Drosophila melanogaster: one gene and its partners. The gene in region 2 interacts genetically with the main gene of each other region. Each region holds a gene or a part of one and is shown on either strand. Other genes may lie near its edges.

Region 1 (10,214 bases), 5.2 Mb from region 2:
CGAATAATTATTATGCTGATAAGATTGATAGCACGAACAAGATTAATGCATTAATTAAAATCAATGATAATTTTTTTTTTTTTTTGATAAGGATATCCCTTTTATTCCACTTGATGGGTACGTGTTATAAGTTATCATATTCGTGGTTCCTTTAATTTGTATCCATTCAATTTGATGTCATATCTGTATATTAACTTCCTTTATAGAAACTGAAACTTAATCTAACATTCTTTTCTATTGACTCAGCTGAATTTTGGAAGATATATACGTACAGATCTTAGCTATATATATGTAGTATAATAGCGGCCACGCCATCTGAAATGGAATATGTTGATTTGCCTTATGAAACTTCAGTTGATTTGGTGTCCAGATTGAAATTAAGATACATTTCCATAGTGCTTGAATCTTTTACTGCTCGAAATATTGCTCTAGTCAAAAGGGGTTTTCGATTCGTTGTTCGATTTCCTTGGTTCTGGTCGAGATTCATGCCCCATTGACGCCCTTCTATTGAAACGCTTTGTGAGTACCTTTAGCTATCGAGTTCTGGTTTTTTTTTAATGTATTTTCTGGCCTTTTTATGTATTTTACCGGGAGGGGTCTTAACAAAAAATATTACATGTGTCGTTTAGGGAGTTTTTTTTGCCCGAAAAAGAAACGCCCTTGAGGGGGGGGGGGGGTAATGAATACGTTGTGGCTAAGACGAGATTGACAACATTTCGGGGGATTTGGACAGTTGGGTATTGGAGGAGACCCTCTCCATCCGAGGGCTCTGAACTAAGCTAGATCCCAAAATGAAACCTGATCCTCTACAGCCGCCCGTAGTGTGCCTGGCTGGGCTTTCGGTCCGTAAAGAAGTTCCTCAGCACCATAATCTGGACGAGACCGATCACGATGACTGCGGCCGTCTCCAGGGATGACCAGACCATAACCCGCTGATTGAGATCTTCGGCCCGCTTGCGACCTTGCGCCTCCCTCAGTCGATGATGCGTCTGGGCGTCCAGGATGTCGTTGAGGCCCTTGTGAATCGCCTGCGACGATGTCTCCATCTGTGTGAGCACCGTGGCATGTTCATCCACACCGGGCAGAGCCGGCTCCTCGCCCACTTGGAAGTCCACGTAGACGATCTTGTGCGAGAAGGCCGAGAATTGATTGCCAAAGCAAGCGGTATACACGCCCGTTGTCTCGGCAACGAACTGATGACTATCGAAGGTGGCCTTCTCCAGACTGTAGATGACCTTGCCCTGCGGATCCTTCAGGGTGACGTCCACGTCCAATTGGCCACCGGCCGACACCTGGAACTCAAAGTAGGCGCTCGAGTTCTTCTTGATCTCCTCGTAGAAGCAATCCACCGCGTTATCGGCCAGATCGAAGGTGAATTCGACGGCAGAGATGCAGTGCATCATCAGAGCTACCGCAAATACAACGATTTGTGTGTTCATGGTTCGCCCTTTTTGCTTTTTGGTATTCCCTGCTGGATTCGTATGATTCCCTGCTTCACCGCCTGTTATTCTTCCAGCTGCAAAAGAAATGCGCTCGGTCAGTGCCAAGATTCCGGCCAAATGCTATGCCACCTGTCATTCCAATTCCATTTACTTACCAGCCTCCGTCCGGATTACGTGACGTGTTTTTGTTATTTGTGATATGCTATCGATATCGCCAGCATTCGGCGTTTTGTGTTATTCGCCGCACGATAGGTCTGGGGTTCTGACGTGTCAACACTCTTTTCCGCCACTCGCTGTGCAGCACTGCGGACCCACGTATATGCTATCGGCTACTGAGCAGCAGAGTTGCCACTCTTTTTTTTTCTTTGGCGCCATTATCAAAAATTGTTAAGCACTTAAAAATAAACTTTAACAATAAACATAGTTGTATACATATATGATTAAAAATTTACATATATATATTTTTTTTATATATTTATATTATAAATTTTAAAAGTACTAATTTTTTAAAAATGTACATTTCAGAATTTGAATTGTAAAGCCATAATTCTTTAAGAGTAAATGGAGAAAAAAAGAAAAGCGGAACACCGTCTACACCTGCAGGTGTATCAGTTCTTTCTTGGAGAGAACGGTGATCAGATTGTTTGCCGTGGTTATGCCCAGAATCTCGTCAATCTCGTTGCCCAAGGTGATGAGCTTTTGTTTACCCAAGGTGACGGGAGGTCCGTTTCGCCTGCGGAGACCATCAGCCGAATTATTAGCCGGAAAGTAGACGAGAACGTAGCGTACAGGGTCACATATGGCTACGTAATCCAGATCCGGACTGCAGACGGTGAATTTCCGCACAACCTTGGAGGCCTGCACGTAGCCGAAGGCGTGCAGCTGGCCCTCGTGGCGGACACTCCATTCATCTGGACGACTGGGCTGGTACATCTGTAGCCATATGGAGGCGTCGACGCCCTGGCGGGTAGCAAAGGCGGCTGGAAAGCCAGGACGCAGCGTGGTGGTGAGCACCAGTGGCGGGGGACCAAGAAAAATAGTGTGGGTGATGCACCCGCTGGTCAAATTGAAGCGTACTAAAAGAAGAAAATGTATTTATTAAGCATATGCAGCAGATGTATAATAGAATGCTTACCCATCTTCATTTCTTCATCAGCGGATATTAAGTCACATTCTTCAACGGGATCCTGCAGACTTGGAATGGGCAGTGGTGGAGCTTCCATTGGATGTACTTCCTCCGCTACGTCATCTTTCTTCTGCGCGAACAAACGTGGCCAGTTCTGAATCTCCGCCTTGGTTAGTGACAATTCTAGGCCATTCTCAGCCAACTTAAATGCACTTAAATCATCTCCCACACTGGCGTATAACTCTTCGTCGAATATAACCTCATCCAGATGCTTTACAACGACAGTGGTTTTAGAACCGCTCACGTTAAACTCTTTAGCGGATGCAGTTGAAGGAACATTGAAACGAATGAGCACATTATTATCCGTTTGGGACCAGCTATAACTAGGTGGACCTCCATTTTCCAGCTGGCCATCGTGATCACCTGAGGAATTCAAGCGGGCAGCGGCTGCTTCATCGGCTGCCCGACGCTCCTCGGGAGTCTGAACATCGCGGTTGCTGGCAATGACTAGGGACTCGGCGCGAGGCTCAAAGGCGCAGTAGTGCACAGAGCCAGTGGTCTCCAGCCGTTGACAGATATTATATGACCACTCGTCATTGGTGGGCGAATGAGTCCACCGTGCCCAGGTCAAGTCCATGTAATAGACGTGCGTCTGATCTTGGCCAACTGCATCACGGCGTGCCACATGACCGGCCACCAGCGAGATCTGCTTACGTTCCTGCAGCACATCCAGCCGGGCATCGAAGAGTGCAAAGCCGCGATGACCACTGTTATTATTCACCGGCGAGCGTGTAATCCGTTGCCACTCCTGCACATCGGTGCGCGTTCTGTCGCCGGTGTCCACCAGATGGTAACTGGTTATACCGTCGCAGATCACACAGAATCGTTCCGAAACGAAAACTATGGTGTAGTTGTAGTCACCCGACCGATGTAGTTCCCCATCGCCCTGATCCCTATAGTCCACCGTGAGGACAACGCGCTGGGCACGTGCGCGTCCAGTCTGTAGATCGTAGTTGCACTGCACCAGCTGGTGGCGCTTGTTAAAGAAGTAGCTGCAGTGGCGCATCCATGGATCGGCTACCAGGTGATTGTGTCGGGCAAAGAGCTCCGTGTGCAGCAGCGAGAACTGATTGCTGCTCGGATCCAGCACGTAGGCATCACATCCAAGTTCCTGGCGAAGAACAGGCACCGAATCGAATGCCAATTTGTAGCCAGAAAAGTCCGAGCACACCAGGTTGCGATCCACTTTCAGTTCCACCACCGGCATCTTGCTTTACTGCGCCAATGCTGAGTTGGATTATATTGGAGATTTCGAAAAAATAGAGATAGATATTCCAAAACAAATCAAATCAAATCGGTAGTAGACCGGATAGAGATGGCAGATGACCGTTCGGCCGTGACTCGTATCGACTTTTTATCGACAAGTGGGGGATATGTACGATACCTTGGCAATTTTCAAATCTAATAAGATTCCTTTTTTTAGTTTGAAATTTAACTAAACAATTAAATAGCTAAAAAGAAAACATTAGTTAGTCACATATTTTTTTATCGAATCGAAAGTTTAAGCAATGTATCGATATAGCCCACATCGGTATCTAGCTCATCTCGATAGCGCCTGCCTATCGACGGACGGCCATCGGTAGTTGCGTGCCGTGGGAAAAACATAACGGGAGCGGAGCAGCTGTTGCCTGCTAATTGAAAAATTAGACACAAGAACGCAAAATTGTGAGTTTCGTGTGGAGTTTGGCCAAGTGAAAAGCGTTGGCGGGAGGCGACTACTCCACCACAACAAATCCAGTAGTAGCTGCAATACGACTCACCCGACTCCACAAAGTTAGTTTAGTGACACAATTCGGTACGTGCGATAGGGCGAGGGGCAACTCAAAAGTTCAAAATCTCAAGTATATCAAGTAATTCCGCATCGTCGTGTTCCGCCCACCCAAAATAATGCACATTGAGGATGCCAAGTGACGAGAGAGTAGAAGCGACGATGTCCACGGTGCGCCTGCCCATTGTGGGCATGACTTGCCAGTCGTGTGTGCGCAATATCACAGAGCACATTGGCCAGAAATCGGGAATCCTTGGCGTGCGCGTCATTCTCGAGGAGAATGCGGGCTATTTCGACTACGATCCCCGACAGACGGATCCCGCCCGGATAGCCAGCGATATCGACGACATGGGCTTCGAGTGCAGCTATCCAGGGGATGCAGCAGATCCTCCCGAAACTCCCGCCAGCGCATGGACCAACATACGGGTGGTGGGCATGACCTGCCAGTCGTGCGTGCGCAACATCGAAGGCAATATCGGCACCAAGCCGGGCATCCATTCCATTGAGGTGCAACTGGCGGCCAAGAATGCCCGCGTTCAGTACGATCCCGCCCAGTATGATCCCGCCCAGATAGCCGAGCTCATCGATGACATGGGTTTTGAGGCTAGTGTGCAGGAACCTCGATCGCCATCCCAATCGCCGTCGCCCGCCCCCGCCTCATCACCCAAAAAGAGGGCAACTCCTACTCCTCCACCTCCTTCATATGCTCAAAATGGTTCGGCAGTGGCCATACCCGTCGAACAGGAGCTACTGACCAAATGCTTTCTGCACATCCGAGGCATGACGTGCGCCAGCTGTGTGGCCGCCATCGAGAAGCACTGCAAGAAGATCTACGGCCTGGACAGCATCCTGGTAGCCCTGCTGGCCGCCAAGGCGGAGGTCAAGTTCAATGCCAATGTTGTGACGGCCGAGAATATAGCGAAATCAATCACGGAGCTGGGCTTCCCCACCGAACTCATCGATGAGCCGGACAACGGCGAGGCGGAGGTGGAGTTGGAGATTATGGGCATGACTTGCGCCTCCTGCGTCAACAAGATCGAGAGTCATGTGCTTAAAATAAGGGGCGTGACCACCGCCTCCGTCACACTGCTAACAAAGAGGGGTGAGTGTTTTTTGTGTACTTAAGCTAAGTGGCTTTCTGGAACTAGTTTATCCCGAGAGAATTTCAAATCACGTTCTGGGTCATGCATTCGAATCGAATTGCGAGTCTGGAAGCATTCCACAAGTGGCAGTGCCAATTGTTATGCAATATTTATAATAATAAACACCTGGAATGGGGCCATCAACCGATATGCACCTGTTGCGCTTTATTCTTGCCCAACGAGCACAGGTGTTAAATTCGATCATATATCTTGTATATCTTAAGGGATCGAATAATGCAATGGGAGTAATGAGCTGTAACAGAAGCAAACTATTGGCAATCGTTAATTGATGCAACTTGTGGCAATAACAAATATTAAATAAGCCATTCAAGGGAATTTCGTAGAATGCCCTTATTTGTTTTGCATTTCGCAGAAAGCGACAGCTGTTCCTTTTTATTAACCTACTAGCATCGAGTTCGAGTAGAATCGGTGCAAATGTTTTTTTTTTTTTTATTGTTCGCTTTTCACAATTTCCACAATTGAAAACTGGCCCAGCAATTGTTTATTGCAACTGATATACTCGATTTACTTTATGCTTTTTTTTCTGGGGAGGGTGGCAGGTTCGTTGATAAGAAAGTGCGAGGAGCACTATACTCATATGCATGTATGTATGTATGTACTTTATAAACCATACACTACTAACTATGCTTTCAGCAAACAATGCCAGTGGCAACTAGATTAAATAGCTGGAATTCACCACGCTCGTGTGCGTGGGCAGTAAAGCTATCTGGAACACTTGGATGAGGGGAATTCAATGGCAAGCCGAGAGTCGGGATATTTAAAATATTCAAGATATTCGCTAAAAAACACATAATATAATTATTGTTTTGTTGGGCGCTGGCAGCTCGAGTTTTATTTGCCAGATTATAGCGTGTTTTTTGCGAGTGTTCAGGAAGAACTTATATATACATATTTATGTATGCGATTAGCTGACAAAGAACAAATGAAATGATTTGAGCTCTTTGTTTTCATAAACTTTATACTGCCAATCGCATTTACCAATTAGCATTTAAGCCATGAAACTGAAAGTCCGCCTGGCCAAAGAAAAATCAAAACAAAAGTGAAAGAGCTCCAATACGCCTTGAAATACAAGTACATACATATAATGTATGTACATATATATGTATGAATGTATAATAATTTATATACCCGCGATTGGCGGGCAAACGAGCGAGGAACTAATCTCGCTTTTGTCTGGAAAAAAAGAGGGAAACCTCTCTCTTTTTCAGCTTTGCAGTCTTTCTGCTCCGCATGCGTGGCCACGAACTCCACTTCCACTTCGTACACAGCGAGAAATGGGGCTAACTATGATATAAGTATTATATAGAAGAGTGCTATCTACTTCGGCATATGATCAGCATATAAAATCTACTAATATTTAAAAGCACGAATCGTACAATGTTTAGCAAGTTTCTTTTATTTTATGTTAAGCACGCACTTTTTCTTCGAGTGCATTTCTAGTTTCATTCACCTTCACTTTGATTTAGAGCTGTTTTTACTTTACTTTTGCTTTGCCAGCTCAAAAATGTTGATTTGAAATTAGTGAACTAGTGGCGAATTATGCAATAACTTGGCTTTGATCCACCACATTCACATTGAATTCTGGCTGATTTACGAATATCGGTTTGCATACCCGTATTTATGTATGTACTAGATGTACGTGCGCCGTTTTGAGAAGCTCAATTGCAAATTCAAAAATGAAAATGCATAAATGGGGAGCCTCGTAATTATGATTGCAATGGAACTGGTTTTCGATTTTTTCGCATTCGACATGGAGACATGCGCACGGTGGAGAAAAGCGAGCGAAACTGTTGCGATTAAATGACACTGAAAATAATTTCAGACATTCAAAAGTGGTATGAAAACAGCGAGCCCACATGAATATCAATCGCTGGCAGCTGTATGATGGTATATAAAGTACAATATCGCTTGTTTTTTTAAAGTTTATTTGTTTATTTTGAATTTACATATATACTTATTAAGATACTTAATTGTATTGTAATCATTTTCGAAAAACAATTACGTACCAGTCATGCTTCTGAAAGAGTTCATAGATGTTTTGGGCCAGCGAAGTTGGACTTCTGCCATATGGATTGGTCCAATTCCGTGCGGCTTCTTATCTTTCAATCAATTAGCACTTAAACTTCATTTAACTAGCTTAACTTGTTGTTTGCCAATTGTTACTTGGCTTGTTTGCAGTTTGTTTGCCGCAAGTCGGTAGTCGAAATTGGGAATGTAAACTGTTGAGCAAAACATATGTTTTCCTCCGATTCTTATCGTCCGGCGATAAGTGAACGACAGAGAACGAACCACAGGCAATCTCAATTCAAATTGAAAATGTTCTAAAATTGTAACAACGAATCGCGGGCGATAAGATGCAATGGGCGGGCAAATAAAAGAAAGAAAGAACAAAAAAACTGAATCGAGAGCCCTAGAAAATGTATATTTCGACGACTGCAGTGGAACTTGCATAACTCATAAGGGATAGATTAAGATACCCACATATATTACTTTTGCTACTTTACTTTTGATTCGTTGAAATTCGAAAATGAAGTTCGAAAAAGCAATTTCTTGTGTAAACACACGAAACGCATCAATTATCAATTGAAAAGTGGGCTAAGATCGATCGGTAGCACTGATAATTAGCGACAATTGTCACATTCGGTGTGATCAACCTAATCCTTCCTCAATTTTGCACACGACCCATCGTCTGGTGTCCACTTGGTGGCCCTCTAATTGAACGATAAATAATGATATCATGGGTTCTGTCAGCTCCCAAGCGATTCCCTTTGCTTCAATCTATGCTATTAATTTGAAGGCATATCTACAGATGACTCAAACAAACCGTTGCTCTAATCTAAACGTAAATTTGCCTAGTTACAGTTTACGCGATGACGAAACGAAACAGAATGATCTTTTGTTCTATTCCCACTTCTGATAAGAACGTTGAACTAACAACGATTGCAATGAGTAGGCAAAAAGTATGCAGGCTCACAAATGTTGATAGACTGAAATGTTGTGCCTGTTAATAAAATAAAAGTATTACTAAGCGCAGCCGATGGCTAAAACCAGTTTTCTTGGCCTCTGCGAACGAGCATAATAATTCTATAATTTCTTTAAAATTATTCTTGGCTTGAGGAATAACTCATTATAGAACTGTATGATGAGTATGGTATATGGCGATTGCTCGCTTATCAATGAATCCAATTGAAGCCAGTGACAATTTCCCCTCTTCAAATAAAGATCGGAAATGTGAAAAACTAATAAGACGATGAATGGGAGAACCTACTGGGGGAATAACATAGCCAACAGATGGCAATAATGTCGAGAAATTCCAGTTGCGGGCCAAAGTTGTGGGCGACAACATGCTCTAATCATGTAGAGAAACGGCAGCGATTCAGTTTACACATTCTACATAGTTAAAAAGAAGCTATCTTATCTACAAATTGTGCTGGCGGGGAAAGGCAATGAACCTACAGCTGCGATATTTTGTGACCAAGATTCCCGGAGCCTCTGAGCCCCACGGATTTTTCTATAATCCGACTGAATGATGCGATAGTTTTTGGCCACATGTCTGCTATATGGGCAAATAATACTGCCTTAAGTTGTGAAATGAGGCAAATGTATGTAGCTCACAAACCAGAAACTATAAGCCATTGCTTATATCAAATCTGTCGCCATCGAACCGGTTGTATGCTCCAATTTCAATACCAGAACAACCGGCATTATTTCCACTCAACGACGGTGTACAAACACTTTTCATTTGACGCCAGGGAAAAAGGAAACCCACAAAAATTCCCTAGGTTCCTCTGTCTATGTCCAAGGAAACATATGGAAACACTAGCCCTTCTCCTATAGAGTTTTCGCTGGTGTCTTGTCAAAACACAGGAGTAGCCATATAAATGTGCTAACAAGCTCCAGAAACTGTGATGAAATTGATATGGCATTCAGATATGCGAGTGCACATTCAGATTCACTTACACATACTCATGGAAATGAAATCGAATATACCTGAAAAGTAGTAATATTTCAATTCCCTAGATATACAAAGCTCATGCGGCTTCATTATTTTTCTTGGCTTGTACGCTTGGCATAGCAAATATCGTTATTAAAGATCAGCAGTATATAGCTTTCACTTCAATCAACTGAATCTTTGATAAATATCCTATGTGAATATTCACTGGCCATTTAAAGTGGCTTTCTCTATTTTTTTTTAACGACTGGTTCTGTAAAAGTTGCACATGAAACAAGTCCGGTTTTTCAGTGTACCAATTGAAACTAACTAGGCTGAAATGAGGAGGAATAATAAATACTACGTCACTATAATTAACTTATTCGACTGATTTTAATAGATGATATTTAAGTTCTATCAACTTATAATCTTAATCTTAATTTTTACAGGCAAATTCCGGTACATCACGGAGGAGACGGGTCCCCGGAGCATCTGCGAGGCGATCGAGGCGCTGGGATTCGAGGCCAAACTGATGACCGGCCGAGACAAGATGGCCCACAATTATCTGGAGCACAAGGAGGAGATACGGAAGTGGCGCAATGCCTTCCTCGTCTCGCTAATTTTCGGTGGACCCTGCATGGTGGCCATGATATACTTCATGCTGGAGATGAGCGACAAGGGACATGCCAACATGTGCTGCCTCGTGCCCGGCCTGTCGATGGAG
Region 2 (13,190 bases):
GGTAAAGCTGACTTGCATAAATCCTGCTGTTCAGTTCAATTAATTTGATGTGTGACTAGCTTAATCACATTAACTACCCTTAAAGTTAATCAGGGTTGGTGGACACCTGTTGCTCAAATCACTGGTTGGGAATTACAGCCAAAAGCTGCGTATTCAAACTATAACTGCATAACTAATCTATTGTTTTCCCGCTCTAATTCGCTTCTCAGGGGAAAGGAGAACGTGGTGGGCATCCACTGTTGCATGCGTTATGACGCCTCCGCCGCTTTCGTGATGCCCTTCATGGCACATGACCGATTCCAGGACTTTTACACGCGCATGGATGTGCCCGAGATCCGGCAGTATATGCGCAATCTCCTGGTGGCACTGCGTCATGTCCACAAGTTCGATGTCATCCATCGCGACGTGAAGCCGAGCAACTTTCTCTACAATCGACGTCGGCGAGAGTTTCTCCTCGTCGATTTCGGTCTGGCCCAGCATGTGAATCCTCCGGCTGCGCGATCTTCCGGAAGTGCCGCCGCCATCGCCGCAGCCAACAACAAAAACAACAACAATAATAACAATAATAATAGCAAACGGCCACGAGAGCGCGAATCAAAGGGGGATGTGCAGCAAATTGCGCTGGATGCTGGTTTGGGTGGAGCAGTGAAGCGTATGCGTTTGCACGAGGAGTCCAACAAGATGCCCCTGAAACCGGTCAACGATATTGCGCCAAGCGATGCGCCGGAGCAGTCAGTAGATGGGTCCAATCACGTCCAGCCACAGCTAGTGCAGCAAGAGCAGCAACAACTGCAGCCGCAACAGCAGCAGCAACAACAGCAGCAGCAACAACAGTCGCAACAGCAGCAGCAGCCGCAGCAGCAGTCGCAACAGCAGCACCCACAACGACAGCCACAACTGGCGCAGATGGATCAAACAGCATCGACGCCATCTGGCAGCAAGTACAATACGAATCGAAATGTCTCGGCAGCAGCGGCTAATAATGCCAAGTGCGTTTGCTTTGCAAATCCCTCAGTTTGCCTCAACTGTCTGATGAAGAAGGAGGTGCACGCCTCCAGGGCAGGAACACCTGGCTATCGGCCGCCCGAGGTTCTGCTCAAGTACCCAGATCAGACCACTGCCGTGGACGTTTGGGCGGCGGGTGTGATATTCCTTTCGATCATGTCAACGGTGTATCCGTTTTTCAAAGCGCCCAACGATTTTATCGCGCTGGCCGAGATTGTAACAATATTTGGAGATCAGGCGATACGGAAGACGGCCTTGGCTCTCGACCGTATGATCACCCTGAGCCAGAGGTCCAGGCCACTGAATCTGCGAAAGTTGTGCCTGCGCTTTCGCTATCGTTCCGTTTTTAGTGATGCCAAGCTCCTCAAGAGCTACGAATCTGTGGACGGAAGCTGCGAAGTGTGCCGGAATTGTGATCAATACTTCTTCAACTGCCTATGCGAGGATAGCGATTACTTGACAGAGCCACTGGACGCATACGAATGTTTTCCACCCAGCGCCTATGACCTACTGGATCGCCTGCTCGAGATTAATCCCCATAAACGAATTACCGCCGAAGAGGCACTAAAGCATCCATTCTTTACGGCCGCCGAGGAGGCCGAGCAGACGGAGCAGGATCAGTTGGCCAATGGAACGCCGCGCAAGATGCGTCGACAAAGATATCAAAGTCACAGAACGGTGGCCGCCTCACAGGAGCAGGTCAAGCAGCAGGTTGCCCTTGATCTGCAGCAAGCGGCCATTAACAAGCTGTGAAACTAGTCCCCACCATGCAAACATACATACACCACTTGTACATACATACATATACTATACCCAGTTCGCTGATCATGATTGTACATATATATAGACCCACCTCAAGAGCATATCTCATTATTGCACCCAGAGCCAGAAGAAACTCGTCCAATGCCCCACTAGGCCACATTTACTTACCTCAAGCCGCAGGCAGATAAAACCAAATGAAACCACGCAACAAACACACACAACACTCACAAACAAACATACAAATGTATATTTAAAGAAATGTTTCAATCATGAACAAAATGGGCAAGGAATACCAAAAAAGCAAACGAGGAGAGATTGATTATGAAATATTGTGGCCGAAAGGCTACAAAATGTTGTATATTAAGGAACACGAAGGCGACCCAAGTGCATGGCCCTCATCGCCCAGTGGCAAAGAATTTTGCACTATCCCCATCATGTATAGTTCGAATAGTCTTGTAGCTAACCTACTTAGGTATAATTATTGTATATCTGAAAACCATGTGAACGAGGATATAAGAGCGACAAATACATATATTTATACCGTGAAGATTGAATGAAGGCCTTGATTTTCTTTGCTCCAAAAATGGAAATTTGTGCAAATTATTCTTTATTTGCTTAAACAAACAAATGCTTGGGGATTTTAGTACGCATATTGTTGTTACCGTACGTTAAATTATTCATTATATTTCAGTTGCAAATATAGGACTCATAAAATTAAAGTGTAAATTTAAATGACTCACCCTTTTCAAAATAAATCCATGCAATTAAAGTTGTACATTATTTAATTTCACATTTATTGAGCACAAATCACCTAAAAAAAAATATAAAAAAAAACACAAATACTCTCACATTTTGATGAGCCATTTCACAACAAAACACTCGCGATGGCAAAATGCACAAGATCACCGCTCTAAAACGTAGCATACTCTTAAGTGCACATGAGAATGCCAGTTGAACACGCACCAACACACCCACACACGCGCCAACGGAGAATGAGCCCAAAGGAGAATGAGGAAATTGCAGAAATTTACCAATTTCACCCGTTTAAACTAGAAATACCGTATCAAACGCATTGCGTCGACCTGCGCTCACTGGTTAATTACACTTTGTAGCACTTTTCGACAGCAAACGACGCTGATATTTATTTAATTTTAATTTTAAAGCGCGTCAGCCATCGCATTTTGTGTTTACCGCTGCTCACGGACGAAGAAAGTGACCGCTTGCGGAGAGAACTTGAACTTTTGAGCTGCAGGAGAGAAATCAAAAGAACGGTAAATAAAGCTTTGCCGCTTGGAAGCGTTGAACTGCTTGTTGTTTAGAAGCTTGTTGATCTTTCGCCACCCTTGCGCGCATTAAATGAAAATTAATTTTGAATCGATTTATATATGTTGGAAAAAAAATGTATTTAAAGAAAGCAATTGGAGGTAAACAGAGTTCTGTGGGAGGGGGGTGAAGAAAGTCCTGTCCCCGAGGGCCTTAAAAACTAAGCTAGATCAATAGATTGGTTCATCCTCCTCGCCTATGTCTCCATTTTCTCGACTTTCTTGCGCTTCGTTTTGGACGTCGATGGCGAATCGGTGGCATCTGTATCCTCGGGCACCACTTCCACTCGGATCCTCTTGCCAGCGACCACGTCCTCCTTCGATGGCTGCGTTTCCATCGCCCGCTTCTTGGGCTTCACGAAGCTGCCACGTCCCGCGGCGCGTTCCGCCTCCTCGATGCTGTACGGCTCGATCTCTAGGGCCTTGAGACGCCTCTTGTGCACCTTGGTGCGGAAATGTGCCTGCATGGCGGTGTCATCGATGAAGTACTTGGCACAGTGCACGCAGTAGAACTGCGCGAATCCCGGCTTGTCGAGATCCACATTCTGATTGATCAGTTCACCGCTCCGGGTCTGCAGATCGTCGTCGATCTGGTCGAGATCACGACGTCGATTCCGCACACGCCATCTCCTCTGCAGATGGGTATCGCCATAGTGCATCTTCTTGCGTTTCGATACCATTCCCATCTTGCTGACTTTTTTTTATATTTACAACTTTTACGGAAAATTTAATCGTTTGTTTTGGCACGTGTTTTGGTTGCCAATGGGGTTTTAGATTCTGCTGCTGCTGCTAGGTGTTTCCTAAAACCTGTAATGCATTTGAATGTTAATTTATATACTGTTACAGTAATTTGTTGCTTAACTTTACCTTTTTTTGGTTAAGAAACGAGGGTTTTAAAGGTAACAAGTTAATTTAATGCGCACATAGAATGTTGGCGACGGTCCCCGGCCGATTGGTTTCTTATCGATAACTGAAGAAATCGTGGTGTGTGCACACTGATACACAGCTGTTTTTATTTATTCGAAATAAAACTAAATTCAACCAAAACTAATTAAACTAAAATTCCATAAATTAGCTACTTGTTGCGACAATAAGTTGTATAAGTTACTCATTTTTAAGCTGCACTCCATCTACTTCGTCTTTTACAATACTATTTTTTGGCATTATTTAGTGCCTTTTCGTAGGCAGCGCACTGTTAAATAAAAAAACATATGCTTGCAATTAATTCATCAACAATCGTGCGAACAAGTTGTCTGCGGGCGGACCGTGCGCATTTTGTTTTAATATTATTTATTTCCTTGCCGCAGGAAGTAAAGTAAGCCCCTAACATTTGAATACATAAACATAGAGTTCGGTTTAACTTGCGTTGATAAAGTGCAATTGATAATACAAATAGTGGGTGTGTGGGCTGGACGCACACACACATGTGTGATTGGATAACAACACTGTGAAATAGATCGGGTTTTACACTTGCAAAAACGATTAAAGCAATTATTATTTTTCATAAGATGCTGCAGCCGGTCCACTCTTGCTATCTCGCTTGCTTCAAAAGCTCAGCGTTTGCAGTGAGTGTGTGTGCGTGTGTGATTTAGCGCAAAAAGCAACAACGAAGCACAAAATAAAATCAGAAACTGTGATTGTTGTTAAATGACTGGTGCAGGGGGTTGGGTGGGTGTCAACGGCAGCTGCATGCATTGTTTAAAATGTACGACTGTTGGCTTATTGGCATTTTTCGTTGACTCTCTGTTTTTAGCTAGACATTCCGTTGAGTTCGTCACTTAAACCGGTGTTACAGCATACATACATACATACATTGTAGATTGTTACAACTCGAGCCAATTGCCCGCCAATTGCAGTAAGTACAACAACAACAAAAAGAACGCGAAATGCGTGAAATAGTATAAACGAAACTAAAAACAAAGCTTAGGAGTCCTTATCGATAATCAGCGATTGCATACCGATTGTGATTATCAGTGCCAATCGCTTATCAGTCAATTATACCGTTACAAGCACAATTAACCCTCTATCTGTGTTCGTGCGTTGAGTGATATATGTATGTTCGAATTCAGATCAACAAACTCTCTCCTACTCTCTTTTCTTTACACATGTGATATAATAGCTCCCCCGGCCTGCAATAGAAAAAAAACACACGCACTCTCGCCGTTTCTCTCCCATTTGTTGCTGCAATACATGTCGGTCACGATTTGACATTTCGCAATTGGTGCGATTGTGAGTGTGTGTGTGTGTGCAGGAGCAGAGGATGGGGCTCTCTTGGCGGAGATCAGCTGATGAGATGAAGCAACGGTTAATGCCATTTGTCCATGCAAATAAACAGAAAGAAAAAAGTTTACGTTGCTAGATCGTTTAAATTTCACTTGATATTTGGAACTAAATTAAATTTTAATTCAATTCTTATTTTAATTCTTTAATATAATATGAATAATGAATCACACTTCATCACGTCGTGAAATTCCATTTTCAAACTTATATCAAAATATCTTAGCTATTTCGCTGAGTCTTAGCATTTAGCATAATAGAAATATTACTGGTAAACGCAGATTATTCATTATTACTTGCCCAAAATAGAACTAGAAAATATACAAATCTTAAACAATATTTAGTGATAATGGTTTATTTCATGATAAGAGTAACAAATGCTTTTCTCTCTGTGTAAAGGCAAAGCTACTAATGCAGGCGAATAAAAGCGAGAGTGATAGAGGTGAATAGGTCCAACCGGTTTGGTCCCAGTGCGTTAGTTTTCTGCTGTTTAATTATCAGAGGCGCTGAAAAGGGGGTTCCCATTGCCTCCCAAAGAAAAGCGCCCAAACGATTTCCTATCAGGGATTCCATAGAAACCAAACAAACCACAGAATGTTATTTATAAACCACGCAAATTTACCCTGAACTTTAACTTTTCTGTATTTTTGCACCAGAATAATAGTTTTTATAGTTTTTCCCCACCGCCACTGTGTTCAATGATTATTTCCAAATCGAACTACAATTGCTGCATCCCAGAGTAGCAATTATGTGGCGTATGTTCTCTGCTTATGGGTTATTTTGAAAGTCGTTGGTTGCCGTACCGATCTTTGTCTTGAAAAACAAATTACTACCGTAACCGAGCTAATTTTCCTTTCATTTCGGGCCAAAACCGAAAATAGTGGCAGCCAAGCCAACCAGTTAACCAGTTGTGCCAGTCCAGTTCAGTTGGATAACTATTGAGTTCATCGCTTGAAGGCTAAAGCAATCCGTTCCTCAACAGATCGCCGCATTAAGAGGTTTTAAATGTACACTTGTTTACCTATTTTTATAGAAATTTCGCTCCTCAGAACAAAAATGCCAGCGAAGCGGGTTTTTTTTTTTTTTTTTTTTTTTGTACCACGAGTGGATTTCTAAAGCTCGTTTGTTTGTTTTAATGAGATATGGGATGAGATTGATTACAGTGAAAAGGGGGAGGAATACGTGTTTTAACTCTTCAATGGAATTGGCGAATGTGATTGCTTGCAATATTAATGCGGACTGGATTATTGTTTCGACCATTTCAACTTGACGACAGTTGTCCACATTACGGATATCGAAGGAAGTAGGCCACAATTTCAAAGGAATGGATCATTAGTTGGGATCATTTTTTAGAGGTTTTTGCCTATGTATGCCTAAACTCATATCAGTCAGCCGCACATCCTGTCATAGCAGCGAGCTTCTTGGACTGCATGCCACAAGTGGTTCGATATTCGAGCATGTTTCACTGATTACTTTGCAATGTGGTGTCGTCGCAGCACCTTATCACTAAAACTGCGATATTAACTGAATGCGGTGAACCACAGACACAGAGGCAAACAAAAAAGTGAAATAAATGAAGTATCCAGCACTGTTTAATTATGGTTCGCAGTGTTCCCATTTGCAGAAGTGGAACAGCAGTTGGTTGAGTCGTTAGCGACCCATTATAATCCAGGTTAATCCAAGGTCAGATATGGTGGTAGTTTATGGCGGGGGTGTGGGGAATCGGGTGTCGGGTCTGCCTCACGCAGTTTCCTGTGAATGGAGCACGCAGAGTTATGTGTGGCATTTTCATTTCACATTCCCCAGTTACACAGTTTTACCCAGCTACACATTTCGCATTCGTCATTGGACATTCCCTTCGAAGATGTGAAAGGGAAAGGGCGGAGGTTGGATTGTTCAGAGATTGACTTTCTAATTGAGATATATCGGTTTTTGATGCGATTTGGGGCTTGGCAATTGACCCGCAAAAAAAACACAAACTTTAGACTTACAAAAATAAAAATAATATAAAAATGGTCAATATAATATATATGTTACAGTGTTTATATTAGATAGTAATAACAGCTTAGTTGCAAGATTGTTTTGATCTTTAAACCTTTCATGGGGAATTTATATAGAGAAAGCTCTATTATCTTGGCCGCCATTGTAGCCATTGCTATCATTTATGTACATTGTTTATTATTCACTTACGAGTGGCAAAGACTTAATGCGACTTTCACTCCGTTCTTCTTTGCAGTCATTAATCGCAGATCCACAATAAGAAGTCGGTTAACCAGCTGCTATGGACCACGCCCATCACAGTGCGCCCGGTGTTGGTAGGTGTTGTGTGATTTGGCCAAAACATTGAAGATGCCTGCTTAGCATCTAGCATCTTATCTATATCATTCGCAATCCACAGATCACTCGATGCATCACGATCATGTGGGCATGCACCACGATCACAGCGGTATACCTGCTGCGACAGCGTCTCCAATGGATGCAGCTTCCATGTTCGACCTGATCCCCGATACCAGCGATTTGCAGGCAAGTCACGCGGGTCACGCCGCTCACGGAGCGCACAATCATGGCGGTGGCTCTGGCACGGGAATGGAGCACATGATGCCCATGGCGGTAAGAGAACGTAGTATTTGAAGAATTTTCATTTCTAACCAAATAATGTTCCTCAATCGTAACAGTTCCATTTTGGCTACAACGAGACGATCCTGTTCTCCTGGTGGCACATCGAAACAGTGGCCGGTTTGATCGGCTCCATGATCGCCATCTTCCTGCTGGCCCTAATGTACGAGGGACTGAAGTACTACCGCGAGTATCTATTCTGGAAGACATACAATCTGCTGGAATATCGACCTGTGACGGGGCCACAAAGAAATCCGGAGGCACCGCGCATACCATCGCCGGCAGCGGCAGCTCCATCGCCCGTTCAGTGAGTTTCGGATTTTCTGCTACCCATTGTAGAATGGAATGGATCATATTGGATCTTTGGTATCCCCTTCGCATGCCTGTTGCCCTTACCCATACTGTAGCTTTGTATCTATTGTATTTACTTAACTTGTTGTATATATTAATCTTAATGCTTTCTTCTCTCTTCTCGTTTCGTTTTCGTTATGCTGTTACCCGTTAAATCGTTCAAATCGTTACCGCTACCGCTTCACATTCTGATCAATACCATCAATATCTCTATCTGCATCATCATCAATGCGCGTCGTCGCTCTTCATTTGTAAATTGAATCATCTCGACAAAAAAAAAAAAAAAAAACTAAACGAAACCCAATTCAAAACCAAATTCATATCGATACGGTCTGCCTCGTTAATATCGTATAATTGGCCATTGTTGTGATTCACGCGACCGTAATTGAAACTAAACATATATATATTGTAACTCAATTTGATTCTGTATCTGCATCTGCATCCGCGAATCGCATCCGCAATCGTGTGGTGTCCCTACTCCCGGCACGCTTCGATCGATCCTTTCTTAGATACGTGGGCGAAGTTGTGCACAAGCAACCGTAAGTATCGCTCCATTGACCACACCATATGTATATGTACACCACTTGACCACCTGCCCAATCAATATACATACATACGTACATATGTGTTATATAGATTACCGTCTCTGTGTAATTTTGATGCCTCACTACAATTTGAATTAGTTAAATCTATTTAGCTGTTGTTGGCTATCCGATATGTCCGATATACCCAATGCGCCAGTTAATGGGAAAAAGTTAATGGAAACAACTGCGCTCGGCGGCGACGATGAATCCGTGTCGGTTTACAAATTGGCCCGTCATTTGTACAGAATATCTGGCTGGACCACAAGATATAGTATTACACACCTGTAGCTCAAGTTGGCAATTAATCTAGAGAGAATCTAACCCTAATCAATAATGGTAGTTTAATCTAACAATGGAAATTCTTAGAGCAGCTCAGCGATATATAAATATATATATATATATATAGTCTTTAGCAATACTTAGTTCTGTTTTGATTTTTGTTTACGTTCAATTATGTATATTTTCTTGTCCTGCTAATTTTGTTCGATGTTTGCTTTAATTATAACTAAATGTAAAATTCTTTCGATATGAACAGACCTTCGATGCTGTCGATTAACCACCTGCTCCAGACACTGCTGCACGTGCTCCAGGTGACGCTGTCCTTCCTGCTCATGCTGATCTTCATGACATACAACGTGTGGCTCTGCCTGATGGTTGTCCTGGGCGCCGCCGTTGGTTACTTCCTCTTCTGCTGGAAGAAATCGGTTATCGTGGACGTAACCGAGCACTGTCACTAACAGAGAACGACTCCCGGTAGCCTAAGTCGCTGTTGTCTTACCGAGATGGAAACGGAGACGGAGGCGTTGGAGGAGCAAATGTCCATCTGAATGAAAGGCAGAGGCATTGGTGCTAAGCTGGGAATCCCAGGAAGCTCTCATCCCCACAGGAAACGAACACACGCATATATACACACGATCGCACTTCAACAAACCTTGCAGCAATTGCAGCTGTTCTCTAGGTATTAGCCTATAAACTAAACTAAATCGATGCAACCGCGCTGCATCGTTTACAATCTTTAAAATATTGACATCAAGATCAAGATAGTCTATGCTATTAGTAAAGAAAAAAGTGTAATTATATAAAAGAGAACAAATTGAGCGACTGGCTAGCGAATTGTATAAAGTTAAGCAATGCAAATATTATTTTTTCCGTTGCTACTCAATTTATATATGTATGTGCGCAGGATTCCCCCAAAAAGCAAATATTTTTTTTTGATCATTACTACTGATATACACCATTTTGTAAACCAATTATACGATTATGATTATTATTATTTTGTAATAAACTTCATTGTTTTTATATAAATATATATATATATAAGATATATATTTCACTTTTGGTTTGTTAGTCCCACAAAAAGACAACACTGTTAAATTTGGCTTCCTTGTGAAATGTTGACTTGGCCGCGAATGTTTTAAGGCTTGATTGAGTGTATGCTTCAACAGTGCGTTTCATGAGTGTAATTGGTGTATGCAAAGGTTAGCATCGATTTATGCTCTGCATTTACGTGTTGTTCAGGTTCAACTGATATTACCTTAGGCTCGAAAACAGTTACTGTATTATTCAATTAATTTTAACTGCTAATTGTAAATTGTTGTCTGTTTGTTTTTTTTTGCAAGTTGACTCCGTAAAAACAGTCGTACGATTTTTGCTCAATCCGAAAATGGCTGTTGTGAAATTGCTTTCCTAAACGAATGGCCGGCCATCCCAAGTGCATATATATTTACATACTATGTACTGCCTTAATGTCCCGAAACGCACTGTAAGCAGCATATGTTCACCTGATCCATTGAAGTGCGTAAATAGATGTTGTAGATATTAAACTTAATGCAAATACATACAGTAAAGCGACAAGAAATTTATAAATACTATTAATATTAAATATATATTAAATCTACATATACATACATTAATGAATAAACAAACACAATATTGTTACAACTGAAACGAAAACGTCTTTGAAATGGAAAGTTATGGAAAACGAAGAGTTTTTTCTTTTTATTTTAGCACGCAAAGATTAACAACAGAAAATTTTGTTTTTCATTTTTCGAATCGTTTTTGATCGATTACCTATTTTATTTTCATTGTCACGATCGTCCATGCTGAAAATCTGAAAAGTCTAGTAACAAACGCGCATGATTTTACATTACCGCTGGCTGGTGCGCTTCGTCACTACATTTATCATGATTGCAAAGAAAACAACGGATTGCTGGTTTTTTTTTTTCGGGATTTAGTTTGATCTTTATTAGAAAATTATTGCGAGTCTCTCAATAGAATGTGTTTATCCTTACTCATATCGTAATTCGTAATTAAAAACATCTTTACATGACTAAAGACGATCGATCAAGTTTTATTGATTGGGTTACACTATTATACTTAAATCTGCCTTCGTAAATGTTCCTTAACTCTGTTTGCCCGATGCTAACTCAATTCAATTGATTAATTTGCTACGTAATTGTGGGTAAACAATAAAAATGTGGAGTGTTGGGTTAGTGGATGGGATCTGGGATGCTGGCAGGGAAGAGGTGTGTTCCTCGCAGGAAAAGGGATAGAAAAAAGGAGCTTATCCTGCGCGGACACAAAACAAAAGCGACCATACATTCATATACATATATATATATAATGTATATATGTGTACGGTTCAAATTGCTCCATAGTATTTTTCGTTAACTGACAACCCGGCGTTTTCAATGCAATATTAATTTTGATCCAAGGATGGGTGGAAGTAATGGGTATAGTTATAGATATATGTATATAATATAGTTATAAGTAGTTGAGAGAAATGGAAATTCACCTCGTTTTGTATTATGCCTAATACAGTTATACACGAGTGTCTCTCTCTCTCTCTCTCTCACTGTCTCTTTCAGCGTTCTCTAGCACTCTGTCTCTCTCTCTCTCTCTGTCTTTCTCTGATCACTGAAAAGTGATCGTTCGTTGATTTCCTGATTGCGTTTTATGGATCGAGGAGTGCGGTTCACGGATCTCGGATCTCGGATATCGCCTTCTCTGTCGTGAAGAAACATTTATGTGTGGAGGTGTGGCATAGAAGTTACCTGGTTGGTTCTTCTTCTTTATCTATAGACATATGCATATCTTCCATATATATCTTCCTCTTTCTCTATACATATATATACACATATATATATGTATATATATATATATATATATATATCCCTCGCATTTATTTCAACACTTTCGGGCTCCTTTCCTCGGTTGGCGGCTTCTGGAATACGTTTGCAGAGAGGAAAGTGTAAGTTAAGTGAGCCAGACAAAAGTTCGGGGCAGTTAAAGGTGGATAGCGCATCTTAGACTAATTTCGAGCTGAACGTGTATATAGATTGATTACGTATACGTATTCAGAGTTCATCTGAGTGTGGGGTTTATATATATCTTAGATTGTGTGGCACGAACAGTACAAAACATACAGCTACGGGATATTCGATTGGTTTTGGACGGAGATTTAGCCAACGGCTTATCTCGTCACATCACAAAAATTCGATTTAATCGAGATCGATATCAAATATCAGTATCATAATTTTTATGGGGTCGGGTTCAGTCGCAATTTACCTGTTGGTGAAGAGGAGGGGGGAACATGAACATACATACATGTGTATGGGTTTGGGGACTCGAACTCTCTCTCTCTCGCCCTCTCTGTCTTTGCACTGTTTGCTGTCTCCCTCTGATCACTGCCTATGCTTGTGCTTCTTCATTTTGCATTGTATATTGTATTTGATTGATTAGAATTTAATTCGATTTAGCAATTCAATTACCTCGTGATTTTTCGTGGGTGTCTTGGAATCTTGACTTGAAGAGTTCGCTGGGGTTAGTTTTGTTTTTGTTTTTTTTTTTCAAGCTTAAAAAATAGAGTATAGTGCAGGGGAAGGATGGGAGGGGGCGGAAAACCACAACAATGAGTTAGGGATTACAAAAAAAAATAAATAAATAACTGCAATATGTAGAGTTTTCACGACAAGCCGATGATCCTTTTCCAAGTTTAGCTTTCCAAGGCTCAAAGACTAAGTTTCTTATACATTCATTATCATTATCATATCATAAATAGAGCAAGCGAAAGTACTTAGATATTTGTAAAATTCAGAAGAATCCTTGAATCCTTGGAATGGGCTAATCGCTTGGTTAAGTTATCATCGATTTATCAAATGTACCTGGGAATCTGTCTCACATCAGAAGCTCCTCTCTCTCTCTCTCTCTCTCTCTCGCTCTTTCTCTCACACTCAGTCCGTCTCTTTCTGACGTTCTTCGGCTCACAAGGCAC
Region 3 (8,375 bases), on a different chromosome or scaffold from region 2:
GGCGATTTGTTTAGTGAATTAGCATTTAGTGCGAAACAGAGCTGCCGCGATCAATGAACTCGATTGGGATGCTATCTGGTTTTCGGTTAAGGAACCAAAGTCATGAAATCAATTAGTAATTCTGGCATACTTGTCTGATCCACTGAACTGATTTGTGTGCTCCGACTGAGAATCGAGATTGTGGATAATGAATTATTAATGCCTTGGTCTGTAGATTTGTCATACTCCGTCTTAACTTTCAGTTTCAATTCCAATTCCTGCTTTGCCCACTTCAATACCCATCATTTTTGGCATGCTATTGCTTATAATACATATTATGTCATAGAAATGCACTTCCACCTGCATTTATCACTTTGATATGCGATGGATGGTGTATCAACCTTCCCATGTCGCCAATTGCATTGAGTGTGTGGGCCATGCGTTAGTTTTAAGGGCAATGTTAATGTCAAGCGGCTAATATTACATTGATTGCGCCGACATTGAATTTCAATTAATTTTTGGTCCCATCACAGTATTCATATGCAGCGCAGACATCCTAATTTGCATAACAGGCCCGATTACTAACTACCAGGTCTAAACTGATGGAAATATGACGTCTAAGGTTAGCTGCAATGTGCGAACTAATTGTGTCAAATGCAGGCAATGACATAACTGTAACGATTACGCAAATCCTAGAAACTTTTTTAACTTTCTTAAGATAGATTAGATAAATTAGATCTTGTAGGAACACAAAAATGCATTGTAAATCATAAGAACTGAAGAAATAAAAGATACTACATGCAAGCAAAAAGAAATTTAAAATCAAAAGAGTTGGTTTTGAATCATTTATAAAATTTTCTGTAGTTATGCAATAGCATTTCAGTTGATTAACAAGTCATAATAATATTTACACCCTTTTCTTTATTAACCATACAACAATTTCAATAACACCCTAAATACGTGCTAATCGCAATAATAATGTACTAAAATAAGGATAGAGGTGCAATAAACTCGTAGTGGTGGCATCGAAAATTCAGCATAAATATTGTCACACCTTTTGTCGCGCACTTTTCAATGTCATGAACTTCGCTGGGTCATAAAACGCAAAACACACAAAACTTTATTTCGGCCATTGTTTACTTTTGGGTTTGTTTTCGACTTTTCGGCAGCTCCTTAATTCACCCCCCCCCCCCTTGGAGCAATTGAAATGCCATAACGTGTGCACATGGCACCCATGCCCACAATACCAGCAAAAAAAAAAAAGGCGATGAGACAGGTAGTGCAGCGCAAAAAAAGCTCTCAGCTGAGGCAACAGGTGCCAAAGGCCCGGCTGCGACTTCCGTTTGTTATCAGGCCGAGAGAGCGAGCTTTCCGGCTAATCCGCATAGAACTCCGGACGACAGTGAAGTAAGTCAGTGGAACGGAGAGGCGCTGGACGCCCAGACACCTATATATAAATTAATTGCCGCACAGAATATTCGTGGCAGTTTCGTTTAAGCTTGAGCCGTGCTTAACGGGTTTTTTTTCGGGGCTAAGAACACTGGTTGTGCACACAGAAAATGTTGAAAATCGTATTCGTAGTCGCGGTTCTGTCGCTAGTGAAGTGTGCACAATCCCAAATTGCTTGTGAGTTGATTGAACAAATGTGACGAAAAGAGTAATAAGTCAAATATAATATGAAAAATAAAATAATTATAGTTCCTAAATTAGGATTCCTGGGAACTACCTTTTAACTTTTAACTTGTGTTTAATATTCCATTCATTTTTGCAGTCCTTAATATTTTAGGTTAGTTTATATCAATTAAGAAAGCATGATCTTTTAGCATTGTGGATTTATATGCTAAATTCACTGGATAAATCTAACATCTAATGTTCCAATTGCAACAGTTTATGCTTCCCTATTTGATAAGAACTCAACCTACAAATATTTCAAGATTCTATCAAAACTTGTATAATCATAAAACGTGCATAAGGAAAAGTTTACTAGATTATGAGAAATATAAATAAATGCGTTCTGCTTATATTAACTAATTATTTTCAACACTCCTTATCATGAACTCACGCAAATTGAAATTCCTCTGACTCCCATGACAGTTAGCAACCAGCCATGCTCGGTTCGAAATCCAAAAATCGTGGGAGGTAGTGAGGCGGAGCGCAACGAAATGCCCTACATGGTCAGTCTGATGCGTCGTGGTGGTCACTTTTGTGGCGGCACTATCATCTCGGAGCGATGGATCCTCACGGCGGGACATTGCATCTGCAATGGGCTGCAGCAGTTCATGAAACCAGCTCAAATCCAAGGAGTTGTGGGTTTGCATAGCATCAGGGAGTACCTCAACGGGATTGGCAACGGTCCGGATGCACTGAGGGTGGACTTCAAGAACATTGTGCCCCATCCGCAATACGACTGCAACGATGTGAAACACGATATAGGTATGTGTGTTTTTTAAGGGGTAATTGCAGGTTCAATTATTTTCCATATGTACAGAACTGAATCATAAATCAACAATATGACATTAACATGACATTATTTTTCAGTAAAATGAATAAAAAATTTTAATCTAGTAAAACACCATTAAAAATATGCGCTTAGGTTTTAAAAAAACAAACAGAAATACATAGGTAGGAAATAGTTTCAACAAAGGATATTAACATTAACCATAATGAATCAGAGACGAATCAAATAATACTTATTATTCTTAGTATTCCTTAAGCTATTGCAAATTGGTATTTTATTCTTTTACAGCCCTCCTGGAGCTGGTACAGCCAATCCGATTCTCTTCACACATCCAGCCCAGCTGCGTGGGATCCGAGGAGGGGCACCGAAGTCTGGAGCAGGAGTACGGAACAGTTTCCGGTTGGGGCTGGACGCACGAGAACCAAGCGGAAAACGATCGATCCGATGTACTGCGCAAGGCTACCGTTAAGATCTGGAACAACGAGGCGTGCGAGAGGTCCTACCGATCCTTGGGCAAGAGCAATACCATTGGAGAGACACAGTTGTGTGCCGGTTATGAAAACGGTCAAATCGACTCGTGTTGGGTGAGTATTCACTTGGCTGATACGGCACACATGTTATGCTCCGGGTTTACTTACCTTCACAGGCGGATTCTGGCGGTCCGCTGATGTCCAAGGAGCATCATCTGGTGGGCGTGGTGTCCACGGGGATCGGCTGTGCACGTCCAGGTTTGCCCGGAATCTACACGCGCGTCAGTAAATACGTGTCCTGGATGCAGAAAGTGATAGACGGCAGGAAATAGTTGGCCAGGAATCTGAAACATAAAGATTGTGATTCACCTGTGATATTAGTCGTACTCGATTATGTGATCTTCTTCAATAAACGTTACTTTAACCAACTAGAAATTCAATTTATTGCGGCCGGTCGTCATTTTTTAAACTTTAATCGATGATTGTGCCAATCGATATCGTTGGACTAATTTGTGGTATTTTGCAGAAAAGATTACTCTGACAATATTAATCGACAAGAATATCGCTAGTGTAGGAGGAACGGAGGAACGATGGAATTTTGAATAATTTATTCTTTCATTATTGAATTCAAAAAAATGCAATAACGTTTAAAAAAATATCTAACTACCTATGTACGACTTAAGTTCATAGGACTCAAGAAAGTATATGAAATATGCACTTGAAAACTTGGCTCCCCACGCTTACTGTCCCACCTGCTGCCCCGCCCGACCGACTGTCACCCGTGGCCCAACGAATGTCTTGACGTCTGCCCCGCCGTTTCCCTAAAGAAATGTCCTTAAAAGTGGTCACGCTCTACGAGTGGAGAAATTCCCGAAAATGTGGGAATAGTTAGTAAGATCTTTATTTTATTTTTTGCAATTCACCTCCAAATAACGAAAAGAAATAAATAAATAAAAAACGTCCCCATGTTTTGATTTCCACCGTTCCGTCATCGCCGCGAACTCATCGACGCTAATTTAACGCACATACAATAATCGCTTTATACTTAGTATTTTAAAAATACTTATAAGTAGCACTTACCGTCCGCGGTATTTTTTGTTTCGCAGCAATTGGTATTCAATTAAATGCCATAAACAAACACAAAAAATGGAAATGGACGCAGACCTAACAAAGTAAATATTTATATTACAATCCGATATATTTTTAATTAATTTGATGCTCTCACGTTAGTCAGGCGATTGCCGAGCTAATGCGCGAGATCGAAGGTGCAAATGCCAGTGTCAGCACCTCGAAACAAAGCGAACGCAAAGTGAATCCTCTGGGCAAACTAAACAAACGCTTCTTAGGCCGCACCATAAACACCGCGATTCGGCATAATGATAGAGAAAAGGAGCGCACACAGGCAAATTGCCGACAGAAGCTGCAGGATCTGGATGATGTGCACGAAAGGAGGAAGTCCAACTACTTTTACAGCCGCGATGCACCCAGAACTCAAAGTGTTGATAGAAGCAGAAGTTCCAGCAGAAGGCGCAGCAGGAGCCGCCACAAAAAGGCCAAGAAGCATCGCAGCCGAAGAAGAACTAGGAGCAGCAGAAGTTCAAGCCGCAGTCGAAGTCGCAGCAGTTCACATCGGCGAAAAAAGCGCAAAAAGAAGGTTAAAAAACACAAAAAATCACACAGAAGACGAAGAAGCAGCCAGAGCAGCAGCGGTTGCGATTGGGAATCCGCACCCAGCGAGTCGTTACGTATACCCCCGCCTTCAGATGTGTTCCTAAACCACTCCAAGCAAATGGCTCTTGCAGTGGCCATGGCCTATGGTCAATTACTAAACCCGAGCAGCCAAAAGAAAGCCAGCGAGTCTAAGGAACACTCCTCCTCTCCTATAAGCGATATATTCCGGGAACTTATGTCCGACGAAGAGGTGGACAAATCCGAGAAGCCCGAGGCCCTGTCCATTTCATCCAGCGACGAAGAGCCAAATGTTCTCACCATTAAAGTAAGCTCGAGCTCCGAGTCCAGCGGCAATAAATCAAGCTCGGACTCAGATTCAGAAGCAAAGAACAGCGTACGCAGCTGTATAACCCTAGAATCTGGTGATAATAGTGATATTGAGATAATTGAGTACCATGAAGAGCCCAAAAAAAAGGCATGTGAAACTGAACCTGCGTCTGAACCTGAATATCCGTCTCAATCGGATAGCACAAATCAACAAGTGGACGATAGCACAGCTGTCACTACAGTGGACCTGACCGAGGATTAATTAGGCTAAACTTTAGTTAGAGAATCGTTATGTAAGATCAGAATGAAATTTTAAAGGAAACAAACTGAAGTTGAACCAAACTAAGAATATTGTTTTTATATTATTATTACAGATATAAGCTCTGCCATAGATAGATTCATATTTGGTTGGTTTTTTTTTAAGTTATGTTTAATAGTAATATACTAAATATACCACCGAATGATACCCTGTTGTGTCTGTTTATAATATCAACTTTGGGTTCATTTTTTTATTTAAATTATAAAATAAAAATGCAAAATTTGAAATGTTAATAATACTTATTAGTTTTAGTAAGTAATAAAAACCACGTGCCAGAGCTCTTGCCATAGTTGATATGCCTCTCGTGTACGGCAACAAACTGTTGCTCTCTCTCTCTCTCTATGACCGATTTTCTCTCAGCACCTGCCCGAACAGCTGATTCTTTATTTACCACTCAATTTTCGATGGAAAACGCCAGCGCGAAGACAATTAGAAATCGCTAAGTTAAATAAATAGAGATCCGTTGTCGCAAGATGTTCGGGAACCTGAAAAAGAAGCTTAGCAGTGCGATCCAGGAGGGCCTGGTGATCTCGGAGAATCTGCAACAGCAATATCGCCAGCGTGTCAGTTCCGGAAACTCGGGGAGTAGCCAAGCCAGTGGGATTACGACCCCCATTTCGCCACTGGGCCTTAACGAAAGTCTGTCGTCCAGCAGGAGCAGTAGCCTCTCCCTTAGTGCTCCCTTCCAGCTAACCGATGGAGTGCCCAGTCACCTAAATGTGGCAGCTGGTTGCAGTTTGCTTGCCAAATACGAGGATGATTGGCAGCAGATTCATGGCGCCAACGAAAAGAACGCGGAGAAGGCTGCGCAGATTGCTAACCAAATCTCCGGCATCCAAGACCAGGCCAGCCATCAGCACAGGATCATGAGTGAGCTGAACAGTAGTCTGGCGGGAATTCCCACGTTGATAGCCCAACTGCAAAACAGCTCACAGGTTCTTAATTCCCTGGAGGAAATGGGTAAGCAGTTGGAGATTGAGCTCGAGAAGCTGGAGGATCTGCGCGAGGAGTGTGAGCTCCAAGAGTTCATCCTTGAGCAGCAGTTTCAGCTCTCCCGGCACAAGCAAAAGAAACTGAACGAACTGGAGCAGTATCGCCAGCAAATAGCCCAGAAACACCAATCCAAAATCAAGGATCAGGAGCAGACCCTCCTGAAGCTGCAGAGGGAACGACAGGCTGTCTTCGACGACGCCTTCCGGGAGGATATGGAGGAGTACAAACAGCGCGGCCAGCTGACAAGTTAGTCTGATAACATAAACAAATATGATGCACTAAGTTAACGCCCCTTTTTTTTTAGAAATTCAAACCACCAGCAACAAGTTGGCTCTGGAGGAAGTCGTCCTTGAAGCCAACGAAGTGGAGACAAAGGATGCTCTGGAACAATTTCTAAATGGCTAACTCACATTGTTTGCTCATCTCGCAAAAGACTACAATTTGTGCCTTTAAGTGCAATAAGCAGTGTAATTGTTAAAATATTTTAACGGGGACTTCTGAAAAATAACTTAATTTTTTCACAACATTTTCTTACTGCATTTGAACGTTAAACTATTACATTAAAGGGAATTGGACATACAAAGATTAATTATCAATGCCAAATTATTTTAACATACAAGGCATTTTAACATAATTTGTTAAAGTAATTTCAAAATTGCTTTACTATCTCGGACAAAATATAGGCAAATTTAATATAAGTTTCAAATAATGAAGTCAAAGTAAAAGTGAATTTTCAGGAATCCCCCTAGTGTATATGAAATTTGTTGATGTGGCACCGTCACTGCATGTTTTGACAGCGCTGAATAAACATTGTTTTTATAACAGTCGATTTTCTCTTTTCTTAATAGACACACAATAATAGATTCCTTAAACTTAGCATGATTATATGGAAATTAAATTAAATATTAAACATGTTTATGATTACGAGATGGTAATTTCACAACGTGGCAGCTCTGGCGAGAGCAACAACAGCTGATTGCTAATCAATGATTAAAAAACTGATTAAATTAGAGATAATTCTCCGCAGCTTACACTTGTCGCAGCTTTCATTGCTCCCCGCATTGCCCCCCAAGTTTCCGTACCCCCTCCTGGATTTCGAGCTTATGGGTGCAGTTGGATCCGCTTTGAGATCCCCAATAGTCGACATGTCCACCAAGCAGGCGAAATTCGTTGAAAACACCATTGCCAGCAACAAAGTGGTGATATTCAGCAAGACCTACTGTCCCTACTGCACGATGGCCAAAGAGGTGAGAAAGTTGCGAGACCTTGAAAAGTCCCAAACAGTGATAAACATCTTTGCGTTCCAGCCCTTCAAAAAGCTCAATGTGGACGCCACCATAATAGAACTCGATGGAAATCCCGATGGCAACGAAATTCAGGCAGTTCTGGGCGAGATTACCGGTGCCAGAACGGTGGGTGCACTAAATATTTTACATTATAAAGATTAATTATCATTTGTAACCTGTGTACTGTGTAGGTTCCCCGCGTCTTTATCGATGGCAAATTCATTGGCGGTGGCACTGACATCAAACGAATGTTCGAGACAGGAGCTCTGCAAAAATATTTCCAATAAATAGTGTTCTTACTCTGTTCAGAACTCCGTTTTATGTAAAAAGTTTGTTAATCTTCAAAGTCCTTAATAAATGCTTTTAAAATTTATGTTTTGCGCTTATTGAGATTACATCGTCTTCTGAGTAATGGGCAAAGTGTTACTAATACCATTCATTATCCGTTAATAATTTTTATGATTGTAGTTCTACGGATCTGTTAGCATAGATATCACAAACATAAGAATATCCCCTTCAACTGCGCCCATGTGAGCAACAGTTTGCAGTTTTAACTGATCTGGCAGCGCCGTAACTGCAGTAAATAAAAAATTGTTTACAATAGTATTTAATAAACTGAATGATGGCTGATTTGGTGAGCGGTGAAGCTTCTGAATCCGACGAGGAGCTGCAGGAGAAGAATAAGGTTGTTGAGGATATCATTTATAAATAACAGTCCAATAATAAAACCATTTTGTGACAGATTTTTGCTGCTGAAATTTCGGGCGAAGCCTCCGAAGAGGATGATGAAGACATTTACGAGCAAGGCCGAAGCAGCAACCAGGTCAACAGCACGGCTTCCATTTACCGGAATAATCTGCTTCAGCGGAAAC

What was found.
Region 1: of Ctr1A (region 2) and ATP7, changing one suppresses a phenotype caused by changing the other (phenotypic suppression), as found in Drosophila melanogaster (2 studies listed by BioGRID).
Region 3: of Ctr1A (region 2) and Grx1, changing one enhances a phenotype caused by changing the other (phenotypic enhancement), as found in Drosophila melanogaster (one study listed by BioGRID).

The regions. Positions count from the first base shown.
Region 1 is NC_004354.4:11,850,824-11,861,037, forward strand, and holds the start of ATP7 (ATP7), read left to right. Parts: upstream 1-4,198; 5' UTR 4,199-4,528; coding exon 4,529-5,498; intron 5,499-9,939; coding exon 9,940-10,214. Other genes in the region: p24-1 (p24-related-1), read right to left, coding at 807-1,439; CG10347 (uncharacterized protein), read right to left, coding at 2,034-2,518, 2,578-3,835.
Region 2 is NC_004354.4:6,657,398-6,670,587, forward strand, and holds Ctr1A (copper transporter 1A), read left to right. Parts: upstream 1-4,249; 5' UTR 4,250-4,404; intron 4,405-4,842; exon of another isoform or gene 4,843-4,944; intron 4,945-6,266; exon of another isoform or gene 6,267-6,364; intron 6,365-7,602; 5' UTR 7,603-7,647; coding exon 7,648-7,681; intron 7,682-7,764; coding exon 7,765-7,976; intron 7,977-8,041; coding exon 8,042-8,289; intron 8,290-8,842; coding exon 8,843-8,872; intron 8,873-9,452; coding exon 9,453-9,654; 3' UTR 9,655-10,231; downstream 10,232-13,190. Other genes in the region: Cdc7 kinase, read left to right, coding at 210-1,758; CG3224 (uncharacterized protein), read right to left, coding at 3,287-3,775.
Region 3 is NT_037436.4:18,862,183-18,870,557, forward strand, and holds Grx1 (glutaredoxin 1), read left to right. Parts: upstream 1-7,047; 5' UTR 7,048-7,148; intron 7,149-7,155; exon of another isoform or gene 7,156-7,244; 5' UTR 7,245-7,320; coding exon 7,321-7,464; intron 7,465-7,524; coding exon 7,525-7,629; intron 7,630-7,694; coding exon 7,695-7,790; 3' UTR 7,791-7,875; downstream 7,876-8,375. Other genes in the region: CG6865 (uncharacterized protein), read left to right, coding at 1,539-1,605, 2,074-2,412, 2,726-3,021, 3,084-3,239; CG14074 (uncharacterized protein), read left to right, coding at 4,157-5,167; Dysb (dysbindin), read left to right, coding at 5,698-6,463, 6,522-6,622; Blos3 (biogenesis of lysosome-related organelles complex 1, subunit 3), read left to right, coding at 8,126-8,188, 8,246-8,375.